Arabidopsis thaliana: one gene and its partners. The protein of the gene in region 2 interacts with the protein of the main gene of each other region in a pairwise test. Each region holds a gene or a part of one and is shown on either strand. Other genes may lie near its edges.

The links.
Region 1: the proteins of AT1G47330 (region 2) and Cand8 interact in a protein complementation assay, tested with the Arabidopsis thaliana proteins (one large-scale study listed by BioGRID).
Region 3: the proteins of AT1G47330 (region 2) and PLC9 interact in a protein complementation assay, tested with the Arabidopsis thaliana proteins (one large-scale study listed by BioGRID).

Annotation. Positions count from the first base shown.
Region 1 is NC_003076.8:9,571,515-9,575,844, reverse strand, and holds Cand8 (Protein of unknown function, transmembrane-40), read left to right. Parts: upstream 1-1,709; 5' UTR 1,710-1,769; coding exon 1,770-2,045; intron 2,046-2,488; coding exon 2,489-2,680; intron 2,681-2,841; coding exon 2,842-3,004; intron 3,005-3,094; coding exon 3,095-3,197; intron 3,198-3,281; coding exon 3,282-3,363; intron 3,364-3,434; coding exon 3,435-3,512; 3' UTR 3,513-3,779; downstream 3,780-4,330. Other genes in the region: ACP5 (acyl carrier protein 5), read right to left, coding at 3,856-3,984, 4,062-4,184, 4,269-4,330. UniProt on the Arabidopsis thaliana protein: G-protein coupled receptor. Plays a role in plants and microbes interactions.
Region 2 is NC_003070.9:17,349,044-17,354,386, forward strand, and holds AT1G47330 (methyltransferase, putative (DUF21)), read left to right. Parts: upstream 1-1,978; 5' UTR 1,979-2,105; coding exon 2,106-2,283; intron 2,284-2,368; exon of another isoform or gene 2,369-2,399; coding exon 2,400-2,476; intron 2,477-2,559; coding exon 2,560-2,643; intron 2,644-2,735; coding exon 2,736-2,849; intron 2,850-2,967; coding exon 2,968-3,054; intron 3,055-3,208; coding exon 3,209-3,348; intron 3,349-3,451; coding exon 3,452-3,539; intron 3,540-3,616; coding exon 3,617-3,690; intron 3,691-3,781; coding exon 3,782-3,999; intron 4,000-4,079; coding exon 4,080-4,306; intron 4,307-4,399; coding exon 4,400-4,696; 3' UTR 4,697-4,832; downstream 4,833-5,343. Other genes in the region: AT1G47340 (F-box and associated interaction domains-containing protein), read right to left, coding at 5,080-5,343.
Region 3 is NC_003074.8:17,386,335-17,391,511, reverse strand, and holds PLC9 (phosphatidylinositol-speciwc phospholipase C9), read right to left. Parts: upstream 3,630-5,177; 5' UTR 3,394-3,629; coding exon 3,085-3,393; intron 2,964-3,084; coding exon 2,764-2,963; intron 2,683-2,763; coding exon 2,544-2,682; intron 2,459-2,543; coding exon 2,160-2,458; intron 2,042-2,159; coding exon 1,921-2,041; intron 1,763-1,920; coding exon 1,613-1,762; intron 1,535-1,612; coding exon 1,451-1,534; intron 1,363-1,450; coding exon 1,069-1,362; 3' UTR 552-1,068; downstream 1-551. Other genes in the region: AT3G47210 (hypothetical protein (DUF247)), read right to left, coding at 4,543-5,177. UniProt on the Arabidopsis thaliana protein: The production of the second messenger molecules diacylglycerol (DAG) and inositol 1,4,5-trisphosphate (IP3) is mediated by activated phosphatidylinositol-specific phospholipase C enzymes.

The DNA of each region.
Region 1 (4,330 bases), on a different chromosome or scaffold from region 2:
TTTTGGAACAAAAAAAGTCTTCTACCACTTGGTTCACATGCACAACTCAGTTGTGAGTCTTGTGACTCGTTAATATATAAGCCGGTTCTTAAAACATAGAACGAAAAAAAAGAGGAGAATGTCTTGTAAAAGGAAACAACAATCAAAGATGCATAATCATGTGATCCATGTTCAACGAAGAGAAACCATTTTGATCGAGACATCTCTTTCGTCCACATATAGCTAAATAGACCTTAATAAGAAGATGACACATCAACTTCCCTTGAATCCATTCATGTAAAACACCATTATCGCACAAGACCAAAACTCTTTATCTCGTTAAATTTATGGTTACTACATGAATCTTCTTACCTCACATATCATGAAGCTCATATGAATGTGTTAAGACTCGCAGACACTATGTTGGATGTAAAAGATGCCGTTGGAGATACATTTGTACGGCTAATAGCTCCAAAGTCCAACCACGAAGAAACTCGTAGATGGTTACCGGGGTAGAGAATTGTGCTTTCTTTGTGAAAAAGGTTATCCCAAAGAAGAGGAGTTTTTTCTTACAAAACAGTATGCAATCACATATTCCATGTTACTTGCATCTCAAGTCACTTGTTGCGTACTCCTCAATGTCTTGTTTACTCCGCAGAATTGCTACCAGTCAACATCCGACCCCTACTGTTCAAGGCTTGATTTAGCATGTTACAAAAATATTTATTCACTGTTGTATATCCAAGTTTTGATTTCATTGTTTTTTTTTAATATAAATATAATTAGCAGCTATAGTATATGAAGTGAATTTAACAACTATAACATGTGTATAAATCTGAGATTTCAAATATCAGCTACAGTAGAAACTCTATAAATGAATAATATTGGGATCATGAAATTTTATTAATTTATAGTGATATTAATTTATCCTATAAATTAATAAATATTATTTTATAGGATAAATTAATATTTATCAATTTATAGAAATATTTAAGCAAAATACAACACTATTTTCTTTCAAAATAGAATAAATGTCAATAGACAACTCGAATATCTAGGTGCAAATGAAGCATACTTAAAAATTCAGAGTTTTTAGAAGAAATTATGATTTCTGTCTATAATGTTGGTGAAGAACTTGAAGACGATAATGTGAAACTTTCTGAAATAGTGACACGTAAGGAAGCAATTATCGCGTCTAGAACTCTTCATAACTTTTGTATGTATATCGAAAAGACAACACCAAGAGTTTTTGATGCAATAAAAAAAATTAGAGATGAACTTCAAAGAGATTCAAATTTTAAGAAAAGACAAATATAACGAAAGTCATATTATACTAGATTATTTTTAAAAGTATGTTTAAGATTAGTAATTATTAATTTATGATATTACTGGACCATATTTTGACATAGAGATTTCAAGAAAATTATTATCTTATTATCTTATCGATTTTGGTCAATTTTTACATTGGTCCGAATTGGAACCGACATAATATATTAATTTATCATATTTATTAATTTATCGAATATTAATTTATAGAGTTTCTACTGTAATTTCAATTTAAGTGGTTGAGGGTCTTTTTAAGACAATAATTAGTTAGTGGTTTCTCGGAAAACTGTTGAGAAGAAGAGGTCCTTCGTTTAATTTACATTAAGGTCCAAAACTATCTTATATTTACTAATTTCAACCTCAATGTTTGGATTTGGTCAGAAACCAAATTTATTAGGTTTCCAAAATCCAGTTTCGCTCCTCCTTGCTCTAGCTCTGTTATCTGATTCGTAACCATTGATGAAATGCGAGTTCTCGACGAAATTGCAGAGTCACCATTTCTGATTTCACCGCTAAACCCTAATTCGACAGCCAATGGATATAGATGGGTCGATAAGTGCCATGGATTCTTACATAACACGGTTCTCGTTGCGGCTTCTCTCTTCTTCGTCGCTTACTTAGCTTACGAAGCGAAGAAGAGTCTGTCTAAACTCTCGAATCGGAGATCTTATATCATGATTGCTTATTATGGTTGTCTTTGGCTTGTTAGCTTGCTCAATCTTGCTTGGTGCTGTCTCCAGGTTTGTTAATAAAATATCACAACTTTGATTGAATTACAAAGATTTTTTTAAGAAAGATCAAAACTTTGATTGAATGATGAGTATTTTAAGACTATTTCTAGGTTCTGTGAAACTCAAATTAGAAACTTTTTGGTCATAAGGTTAGGAATGAAATCATAGTATTTAGTGTTTCTGGATAGGTTATTGAGTAATGAATGAATGTTTCAGAAAGATGACAACTTTGTTGATGAATGAGCATATTAAAGACTATTCTAGGTTGGTGAAACTTGAATTTGGTCAGAAGTAAGTATTTAATGTTACTGTATTGGTATAAGATGTGGGTTGTTAGGAAGATCATAATTGTAATCACGGTTTATGGAAATGAGCTAGTGATCCTTGTATCTATTTACATATTCCTAGGTTAGCTTTTGATTTGATTATCATGTTTCCGGATTTGATTATAGGGTTGGGAATGTACTCCTGGGAAAGAAGTTGTTTGGAATCTGTTAACTTTGTTCACAACATCTGGAATGTTGTTTCTGGAAGTAAGCTTGGTGGCTTTTCTCTTCCAAGGAAACTATGCAAGCGGTGCAGAAGCATTAACTAGAACGTTCCTAATCTCGGGTTTTATTGTTGCTCTTGATTTGCTTCTCAAGGTATCTCTACTTTGTCTACTCTTATACCTTCTCATTTCTGAACAAATCTTAGATATGGTGAAATGACAAGTTTAGGATCTTCCTTTTGCTTTTGCCAAACTTTCTGATATGAATTAGGCCTTACCATTTCTGTAGTCCTTACGGGTTTTACCTTCATTCAGGCAATTTTTCTCTTTGGATTTGGAGTGCCATTGTTTATTGACAACAATGAAAATGGAAAAACGTTCAAATGGGGCTTATGGATCATTCATAAGCTTCTACTCACTGGCGTTTATGGGATGGTGTTCTTGATGTACAACTCTAGGTGGAGAGAAAAATTGCCTGGTAAGTTGATCAGACGCTTCTATCTTCCCATAATAGCCTCCACTGGTTTCTTTCTATTTATCATCATTCATGTCTTCTTGTTTCTAACAGCAAGGCCTGCATTCTACAACTACATAATCATCATGTTCGCCTTATACAGCCTTTACCTAGTTGCATCTGCGTTTACCGCAAACAACGCGCATTTTGGTTTCTGGTAACTCTTATCTGAAACCATCCCAACAGAGAATATTGTCTTATGTTCAGCTTGTATCTGCCTTTTAACTCAAAATACTTGCAGGTTATATGGGATCATGAGTGTTTGCTACCACGCATTATACCTTCCTCTTCTTTACATAACGTTCCTCGCAGACTTTTTCCAGGTAATCATCATCATTCATCTTCTCTCACTGACTCTCTCACTCTCTCTAAAATGCAAATGGGTTTGCTGCAGGAAGAAGATTTGAACTTGGAGAATGTATACTACTCAGAGATGAAGGATGCTGGATTTTTCGACTCTGATTGGGAATAGGACTAGGGTAACAAACATCTTCCTCATTTTCTCAATCTGTAAATACACGTTGGGTAGGATCTCCTAGAAGTCATGGCTGCTTTTTCCGGCTTTGGCGGGTTACATTTTAGGGTCTAGTCTTTTGTATGTCTGTACTTTTTCCTCATGTTTCTTTCTCTTTTATAAATCCAAAATGTCTTGTGAATCTCTTTGTTCCTTAAGCTGATAATCTAAAAGAAAGTTTTGTAGTAGTCTAAAGATTGACATAATAAACCACTAGGGCAAATTAAGACATACAACAAAGCATGACACAATTGAGCAAACGGCAATAACAAAAGACAAAAGCCTTTGGTTGTTTCCTTAACTAAGCAGTCTTCTCTTGGACGAGTTCTTCAATGAGTTCAGCAGCCTGTTGGACTGTTGCAATCTCCTTTGCTCTCTCTTCCGCCATTGTTATCCCGAACTCTTCCTCCAAACCCATCACTATCTCAACCTGCAAAAAGAAAGCAGAATTTGTTGATGATGATGTCCAATGAGCTCTGAGATACAATACAATGAGATGATATTTACCGTGTCGAGAGAATCAGCTCCAAGCTCGGTAAATTTAGTTCCGGCAGTGACTTTTTGATCATCGGTGAGCGACAATTGCTTCTTGACAATCTCAGACACTTTCTCTACTGTCTCTTGCTTGACCTTAAACCACATATATACCACATTACCAAATATATTCAAACAGCCTCAAGAAAGTCGAAGAAATATAGAGTTAAATCAACATACTGCACAAGAAACTGCGAGACGAGCAGGCATCAAACGTCGTAGGCTGAAGGAGAGATTATTAG
Region 2 (5,343 bases):
AAAAAACGTGTTTATAAACTCTAAACGATAAACTGATCATCCTCACATCAAAAACATGACGGCATTGAGAAGAACAATCTCCATCATTTTCGTTTTCTATCTCTCATGTTAGCTTCTCACTCAGTCACTCTATATACTACATATCTCTTACATTTTGATTAATCGATCTATAAGACCTAATAAAATATGGTATGTGTTTGCAATTAATAGGTACGTTGTTCGTGAATATCTTTGGAGTTCAAGCCAGAAATTTATGCAAGACAGATGAAGATTGTGTGTTGCGATGTCAAGATCCAGGTGCGAACTGTATTCTTGGAATATGCCATTGTTCGCGCCAACAAGTTGAGACTGAGCTGACCAAGGTGATAAGATGCAAGACTGATCGTGATTGTCCTGATTCTCATCAATGCCCTAAAGATTATTATTATGCTTGCCTTAATAATGGAGAATGTACTTGTATCTCTGTTTGAGAAACCTTAAACCACTCTAACAAATAAAAGAGAAACCTTAAACCATGATTGTTCAGATTCTCATCAATGCCCTCTATTCAATATACTAAACCTTTAAATAGAACTAAAGCTCACCCTATATACAATATTCAAAGAAAATAATAGGGTGGGTTAAACCGCCAGCTGGATGCTTGAAGATTAACACGGATGGTGCGTCACGTGGGAATCCGGGGCTGGCAACCGCTGGAGGAGTGCTACAGGATAATGAGGGGCGATGGTGTGGCGGTTTCTCTTTGAATATTGGGAGAAGCTCGGCACCAATGGCGGAACTGTGGGGAGCATATTACGGTCTCTACTTAGCTTGGGAGAGGAAATCATCACATATAGAGTTGGAAGTAGACTCGGAGATAGTAGTTGGTTTTTTGAAGACAGGGATAAGTGATCATCATCCACTGTCTTTCCTGGTACGTTTGTGCCATGGCTTCATATCGAAAGATTGGAGAGTCCGAATTTTTCACGTGTATAGGGAAGCTAATCGTTTTGCTGATGGATTAGCGAACTATGTTTTTTCTTTACCACTTGGGTTTCATTTTGTTCCGAATGTTGTTGATTTATTTTGGAAAGAGGATAACCTTGGGGTAACATGTCCAAGGCAAATCCCAGTCCATTAGGTTTGTTTTCTTAAGTTACTTTGAATAGAACGGGAGGCTCCGCGGCCCGATCGCTTACCAAAAAAAAATATTCAAAAAAAATAATTATAAATATAAAAATCAAAAAATATATTATAAAATCAGAACGTTAAACAGAAACATCCATGTGAAAATCAATATAATGTTAAATCATAAATAGAAGTTAAACATAAATATTCATTCAAAAAAATATAAATCTTTATAACTATGTATATGAAGTCCAAAAATATAAATCTTTATAATTATGTATATGAAAAAGTTGAAGAAAAGTGTAAACGAATGAAGCCTTTTAAATCAGTAAATGGCTTCATTTTTTTCTCTCCCTTGTTGAACATTTGTGCATGTTTATTTGGTTTGAGTTATGTGTAATTTTTTTGTCCTTTATGTAGCACTCAGTTTCAGTTTCGGTTAAGACCTATTTCAATCTATACAATTTTTGTCATACTTTTTTTACACCAACTTTGATACTCTTAACATGAACGTGTTTTGGTGTGGCAAATTTTTATTCCCATCATATCGATCTCTAATTTGTTTAACAAAAATTAATAAGAAACTTTTATTCGACCTAATTTTTACTAGCACGGAACAAATTTATATATATGCACTTGGAATGACGTAATTGAATATATGAATGGAAGTTAGGATACCAAAATAACTATGTAGTATTTGAATCTTACTAGCTCACTCGATGAGAATGGAAGTAGGGGTACCAAAATAAAAAATTTGGTCCACCACAACCAGATTGGTAAAATTCGACCGGACATTTATTCCGGTTAGATCTCAAAAACAATATTAAATAAATACCCAATAAGGAAAGTCGAAATTAATGCGTTTGATAAAAGATGATCGTCTGAATTAGATACGCACTAAAACATCAAAGAGTCACTCTAAACTCATCTCTCTCGCCGAATTCTCCCCAACAATTTCCGCCGGAAACAAATTCTCAGATTCCGGTAACTCTAAAACTATGTCATCGGATATTCCGTGCTGCGGAACCACGTTCTCGCTCTACGTCGTGATAATCATAGCTCTTGTAGCGTTCGCTGGCTTGATGGCTGGTTTAACTCTTGGTCTCATGTCTCTCGGTTTAGTCGACCTCGAAGTTCTCATCAAATCTGGCCGTCCTCAAGATCGAATCAACGCCGGTGAGTGCTTCAACTTGATGACGATTCTGTTGAATTTTGAAGATTCTGTTCTTTAGCTGATTTTATGATTTTTAATTGTACATAGCAATTGAAGAACATGTGTATTTGATTGTTAGGTAAGATATTTCCAGTAGTGAAGAATCAGCATCTGTTGCTATGTACACTTTTGATCGGAAACTCTATGGCTATGGAGGTGATACTTGATTTTTTGGTTTCTATGTATTTGAAGCAGAGACTTGTATATATAATGGTGTTGATGATCTCTTTTTATTGTAGGCTTTACCAATATTTTTGGATAAAATTGTGCCTCCTTGGTTAGCTATTCTTCTTTCAGTGACTCTTATACTGGTGTTTGGAGAGGTTTTATATCTGTTACCTATAGTTTTGATATACTTTTGTTTTCCATTTTTACAGTTTGTGATTATAGTTTCTCTGCTGTTGAGTATCTGCAGATAATGCCACAAGCAGTTTGTACTCGATACGGGCTTAAGGTTGGAGCGATAATGGCTCCTTTTGTTCGTGTTCTTCTTGTACTGTTCTTCCCAATTTCATATCCAATCAGTAAGGTAGAGAGTCAGATTTTCTGTTTTGAAAAATCAGCTTGTGTAATCCCTTTTCTGGCTTGATTGAAATGCTCGGCTAAATCTTGATGTTTCTCTGTTTTGGTAAACATTGTTGCTTCAGGTTCTTGATTGGATGTTGGGTAAGGGACATGGAGTTCTTTTACGGAGAGCAGAGCTAAAGACATTTGTGAATTTCCATGGAAATGAGGTATGCAGCTAGTGATGTTTGCTATGACCTTGGAATTGAAAACTGAAGCTGTGTTGTCCTCCATATTAAATAGTTCCAGATGTGTCGCTGAACCGTTGTGTCTCTTAGAGCCAACTTTTCTGACAGACTTTTGTATATAATTCTTGTTTACTAGGCTGGGAAAGGTGGAGATCTAACAACCGATGAGACTTCAATCATCACAGGTGCACTTGAATTAACTGAAAAGACGGCAAAAGATGCAATGACTCCCATATCGAATGCATTTTCCCTTGAGCTTGATACACCTCTTAATTTGTGGGTTCTTTTTTTTTTGTTTTGCTTCCATCATCTTCTATTTACTCTTATTCAGTTTACTTAAATATTTTGACCTTATAATCTGCTTTCATCCACAATACAGGGAAACTTTAAATACAATTATGTCAGTTGGTCATAGCAGAGTTCCAGTTTATTTCAGAAATCCCACACATATAATTGGGCTCATTCTGGTACCTATCTTTCATATGGACTTTGTTTTTGTATTGTCTAGCTTCACAGCATGTAATGTCCCCTTTTGCTGATGCAGGTTAAAAATCTATTGGCAGTTGATGCCAGAAAGGAAGTTCCTCTGAGAAAAATGTCCATGAGAAAAATTCCACGGTAAATGACTCTCTAAAGCTAACTTTCTTTCTTTACGACCAGGATTTAATGCATACACAGAGTTCATGTTTATACTATTTATTTCCTCCAGTGTCTCTGAGACCATGCCACTATATGATATCTTAAACGAGTTCCAGAAGGGTCACAGTCACATAGCAGTTGTTTACAAGGATCTTGACGAGCAGGAGCAATCTCCCGAAACAAGTGAAAATGGTATTGAGCGCAGAAAAAACAAGAAAACGAAAGACGAACTTTTTAAGGACAGTTGTAGGAAACCAAAAGCTCAGTTTGAGGTATCGGAGAAGGAAGGTGTGTCTCGGCATAACTTAGCGACGTTCCATAAATAAACATGAGAACACATGTTAGCCTAATTTTCTTTGGAATTGTAGTATTCAAAATTGAAACCGGAGATGCAAAATCCGGCAAGAGTGAGAACGGTGAGGAGCAGCAAGGGTCAGGGAAAACAAGTCTATTGGCTGCTCCAGCTAAGAAGCGACATAGAGGCTGTTCGTTCTGCATTTTGGACATTGAGAATACTCCCATACCTGATTTTCCTACCAATGAGGAGGTTGTAGGAGTTATCACCATGGAGGATGTTATCGAAGAGCTTCTTCAGGTAACTCAAACCGAAGCATGAGCATCTGCTTTAGTTATTAGCATTAGAGAAGTAAAGAATCATAGGCATTCTTTTTTTGCTCTGATTTTTCAGGAAGAGATCCTTGACGAAACCGATGAGTATGTGAACATCCACAACAGGATAAGAGTCAACATGCATGCTTCTCCAGAGAATCTACCAAGCGTGATAACCTCAATCACGCAATCATCATCGGGTTCCACTAGTCCCAACCAAACATCTCATATGGCCACACCAGATTCAAGTCCTACAACAAAACCATCAAATTCAAGTCCTACAAGAAAACCTTCAGTATCGAGTCCTACGAGAGAGCCTTCAGATTCTTCACACTCCATGGCTCCAAAACATGAAGAGTCCACCCAAACTTTATGATGATCATATATGAGTGAAGATAGATTAGCTATGTATCCTTAAAAGATGACTTCTTTAACAGAATCGTTTGTGTGTTTGAGATTAAGACTGGTTAATAGTTTCTTTGTAATGAAAAGGATGGATCTTTTACCAAAAGAAAGAAAAAAAGCTAATACTAAACTACAAAAGTTCTTCTTGGTGGTAACATTCTACTTTAACAAAACAAAGAAACGACAGAGCCTTTTGGCCAGACAGAGTTACTGCAATCTCTGCTACAAGACACTCATAGATAATTACTGATTTAGTACTTATGAGAGACAGAATTTACCAGCTAAACTTCACTTCACAACTAAAGAACGTAACCTCATAGATAAGCACCAAAAGACATGACCATTGCTTTTACCCTAACTCCATTGATCTTCTTCTTCTTTTTCTTGATCTTCATCTTCATCTTCTTCTTCTTCCTCTTCCCATTCTATCTTCGCATTTGGACCATCATAGATTTTGGACTTCAGCAGCTTTGGTTCGTCAACATTCAGATACTCAACATGGTCAGCAAAACGGTAGAAACTACTGCAATCATCTACAAAGACGCGGACTCTGCTACGCCTGTCGAATGTTCCATGGTGTTCTTCAAAGCCTTGAATTTCAGTACATTGGAGTGTGTT
Region 3 (5,177 bases), on a different chromosome or scaffold from region 2:
AGTCGTCTTCCTGTCTAAGCCTTTTCCAACGTTGACTCTTTACTTATCCTCTTGCTTCTCTCTCTCATCTTCTTGCACTTTCTTGTTCTTATCCCAAGCTTTGAGTCTTTCAGGTACGACATCATTTTATTGGATCATTACTCTTACTTCATTGGTGGTTTTTGTTGGTCTAAAGAATTTAATTATATCAATATTCTAGTTTGCATTGACAATGCAAAATCTTATAGCTTAAAGTTTATTTAATCTACATTTCTCCGATTAAAGATCGCCGGTGACTATTTTTAAACTCTGATGAATGATAAGACCGAGGTAAAGTCACGAGTTTTACGTATAATCTAGGAAAATGGAAAACAATGTGACATAAAACGAGAAAGTCACTAGATGATGAAAACTTAACGGTCAGAAGATGACCAAGCAAATAGTGACATGTGGCCTAGCATTGTCACCACATTTGTCAATGTTGGAACTAGATCCACTATGAAAAAAATCCAAAACCAATAGACCAAATAAGATCTGCTATGAAAAATAGGATACCTGGAGGCTGGAGTACTCGGAACTAGATCCGCTTTTATTTTTACTTTTACAAATATATTTTTAACATGACCACAAAATGAAGAATGACTAATTTACTTCATCACTAAGTTTCAGTTCCATCAAAAGTTGTTACCCTGAACGGCTGAACCTAAGAAAGTATGCCCCCCAAAAAAATGTATATGTTTTGAACCAAGCTCGAGAAGAACTTGCAGAAGAATGAAAAATAGTTTTTGAAATAAAAAGACAGTAATTCAGTAAAAGAAATTCAAAAATAAAAGTGAAAGAAACTTGAAGTGACAACAAATAACAGGAAAAAGAGAAAACTTTATTTTCGTCTCCAAAGTAAAATGCCAATGCCAAGTTTTTCTGGACCAAATACCTTATTTCCGTATCACAATCTAAGCTTGCCTAAACCCTTTCCCCCTTCCAGGTGGAACTTGAACTAGGGGTCCTAGAAAGCGTAACTTTGAAAGGTTTTAAGAAACACCACTAGATCAAGAGCCGCCACTTGGTAATGAGAAAGAAACTTGTACGCTAAGACCACTTAAAACGTGTGAGCAGCATTGTCGAGCTGCATGCCTTACCTCGCTCATCATAGAGCGGAACAGCACGAATTCCTTCTATTAGTTCAGAAACCGGTAGACAAGTCTGACCACAAAAATAATCTGGAGTTGATACTTCGTAGTCATAAACTTCAAAACTAATCAAAGCAAGGTCAGGATAGGTCAAGGGAAATGTGAATTCTTCTCCCCAAGTAGGTTTCCATTCGTTGTTTTTCACTGTCGTGTTCATAATCTTCTCATCATGGGGTACACCGGCAATACTGATCTGTGCATTTGCGATTAAAGAACCAAAATCAAACTCATTTCCATACCCAAGAAATTAAAGTATCATCTCCTGATTTAGATTTTTGTACCCTAACGTATAAGTCCGGCTTAGACAGTCGACCTATCCGCTTCTTGAAGTCCACAATCCATCCATCTCCCATGTAGATTTTGACCTGCAAGATATAATGTCATCACCCATCCTAAGTGAGAAATAGAACCATAGTATAATTGTTGTAGGATGACAAACAAACCTTTAATGTCTTCACCACCACTGGATTCTCTGTTGGATAGAAAACTCCACTAGAACCTGCATTCAAAAGGAAATTCGGCTTCTTGACGTAACCGCACCCTCCATTTGCTCTAAACATCCCTTGCATCAACCAAAGTTTTTCTTTGTCGTCCTGTAGTACAACATAATGTATTCATGAAACTGATTCCAATAGGTAAGCTCTCCACACAATGCGTACATGCTTGTGCAACCAGTACTGGTTATGAGCAAGAGAAACCAGATAAAGAGAGAGAGAGAGAGAGAGAGAGAAAGAAACGTTTAGAGTCACACCTGCCTGCTTAGTGCAATCATTTGTGCACCGTGCATCCAAGCTCTCTGAGGTTTATAAGGGGGGTTGCTCAACAAGTTGCGTTTTTTTGGACGTGTCCGCAAGAATTTATTTTGGGTGAAGCTGTTTATTGTCAAGAATTTCCTAATCAGTTATATTTTAGTATTTGAGAGGCAACTACTCTCAACATGTTGAGTAAGGGTTTTGGTATGTAGTATAAACTTATTTAACTCAACAATACCTTATAACATCTCTTTCGTACCATCCTGGTTGTTGGACGTCGTCTGTTAATGCTTTTTGTAGCATGCCTCTTGGTTCCACTGCATGAAAGCCAACAACACTCTGGTAATTCTTATCTGTTGACCCCTCTTGTATCTCAAGCTCAACCCCATTCTCAACGGCTTTAGCATATAACAATTTTGTTGGTGGTCTTCGTGATATTAATATCTTATTTTGTAGTTCTGCTGGTGAAGGAAATTCCTCCAAGCTTTGTTGGGGGTCTTCGTGGTATACCATATCACCAAATGTCTGATCTATCATCTACATATGCAACAATATATCATACCAAAAGAATTAGAATACGTAATAATATGAGAAAAACGAGGAGAAAAAGAACATTATAAACCTGAGTAACTTTGGATTGAAGATCCGGTTTCAAGCTGTCCTTGATCGTAATTATCACGGGATAACTCCTCGTGGGGGTAAAGGCATGCTGTTTGATAGCATCCAAACACTCTTGCAATTCTAGAGGCTTTTCAAAGTTCCTATCAAGTTCATAATTAAACCAGAAGCTCAAAGCAAGCTGTATAAGTTTTCATGAAGTAAAGAGGCAGAACAGAATATACCATTTTGGCCTAACGCATATGCCGTCTTTACCAAAAGGCAAAAGATCTAGTTCAACCACTCTCACACCTTGTTTAAGTGCATCAATGATGGGCTCAATGCTGTATAATCTCCCAAAGACATTATTTCCCGTAAAGTAGGATTTGAGGCTAGTGTGAATGAAGTAATGCGATAGTGGAGCATTCATGTCACGATGACGAACCTGAAGAACAGAAACCTAACTCTTACAAAATGTGTTCTTATTTCCAAAAACAAACCAGAAGTAACGACCAACCTATTTCTTTGGTTAATTTTGGAACAGAAAAAAAAGAAAGAAATATCACCTGGTCACTGATCGGGGGATTGAGCTCCGTAGAAAACAGAAACTCGTTCAAGTGAGGAAGCTCGAGAATCGTCAAGTTGCGGAACTTAAGAATATCACATTTTCGGCTTTTTAACTCCCTATCGATTTGCTCTGCAGCGTTCAAGCCGGCACCGTCTTCGTCCTTCTCAGTATCCAACAATTTGATGAACGTAGGTAGCAAATTCGGCATATCGTCATCATATCCATGATATTTATTCCTGAAATAATTTGGGACGCGACCCGGCTGATTCGCCTGTTTCATCTCAAACTTCTTTCTTAAATTCACCATATTGTGAAAAATGGACGAAACCAAAGTATCCCTCGCTTTTTTTAGTTGGTCAACCTAAGACGACTTCAAGAAAGATTTTGCGGTTTGTGAGGTACAAGCAAGCATAGATCCAATGGATAATTGCTAACCCATTTTCTCCTTACATCATTGACCCTCAAGTGTTTTTTCTTTTCTTTTTGAAATTTAAATAGTTAAAATTGGTTTCATTGGTTTGTCTTTTTTTTTGTTTTGTTTATGCGTTGGGCTCATGTGTTTCTGTTGGAACGTCACCGTGGGAACATGATGTGTATTATTAACTTTTTGTTTTGATTGGTTTGTACGTAGTTTTTTTAATAATGTGCCAGTTGTTTTAGACTATGTACTATGATTTTATTTTTTTAACACTTCACCTAATCTTTTCTTTTATCTATCTATTAATTCAATATGTAATCAATAATTTTGTTTAGTAAATATCAACATGTATCATACTTTACCATTTTATTACATAGTAATCATCAACATCCTAGTTGGCTTGTTTACCACTTTTACTTTTATTTTCTTTTGTGTATATGTTTTATGATTATATATTAATAATAATTATCGATTAAAATTAAGTTAAATTAAAAAGGTTATCGTTCAAATCCATTTCACTAAAAAAATGAGTTTTTTTGTCCTATATTCAAATCAAATGCAACAACTCTCTCTTTATAAAATGAAAATGATGAATTTTGATATAAGAAAAATAGAGACTCGACTTCGATAAAGTTTTGGACTTCACTGAAAATTAGCATGAAGTTATATCCCGTTCACCCTAAGTCAGGGCAGCTGCATGACAAGTTCAAGACTTCTCATAGCGCAAGATAATCGAGAAGACAAAGCAAAGTCAAATTTATTTCATCAAAGGAAAGTAGAAAAGCTTTATTTCATGCAAATTAACAAGAGTAACAAAATACTTAAATACATATATAGGATAACATCATAAAACGAAAAAGATAGCAATAACACAAGTTACACAACTGATAAAAAACAGGGAACAATGATGTTTCTGTAGAAGATAAAAACGACTTTAATTCCATTGTTTCTACATAAGCTCGAGCATGTTTGCTTTGCCTGGAGGACGTTCCATCATGCGGTTTTGCTGTTGCTGTTGCTAAGGTAGAAGAATGGTATTTAGAATCGATAAATTGGACGAAAGCGCAATGCCACAAAATTTCTTGGTGACAGTAAAAAACTTCGACATATTGAGTACCATTTTGAGGTGTTCTCGTTAATTTCCACAAACACATTCCGTAAATAACTTGCATGTATGTCAAACACTACATCTTTACATATAGTTTTGAAGAACTTTGATACCTCCTTCTCGCTGCCAAAGTAGTTCTCTATGATCCGGCGACGACTTAAGAATGTGGCATCTTCCTTGCCGTTTAGAAGGCATCCCATGAAAACCACATAGCTTGTTATGTGGTTGGTACTCTTTGCGTAAAATTGTTCAAAGGCGACGCAATTGAGCAAGATTGAGATAATGAACCCATCCAATCTTAACACTGGTATTTGAAGCCTGTTCTTCTTTAACCTTATATCTAACATCGAATCTGCACCACTCCTTAAACTGAAATCTATTCCTTGGAGAGAAAGTCTTGTAGCCGACAATAGCAATGTAAGACCGGAGGATGATTTCTTTCTAGATTTACCCTTAGTGAGTTGGAAATCTTCGTATCCATCCATAGGTAAGAAGCTCATACGAATGAGGTCAAGAAGATGTTTTGCGTTGAAGTTTCTGTGTTTGACCCAATATCTTTCTGGTT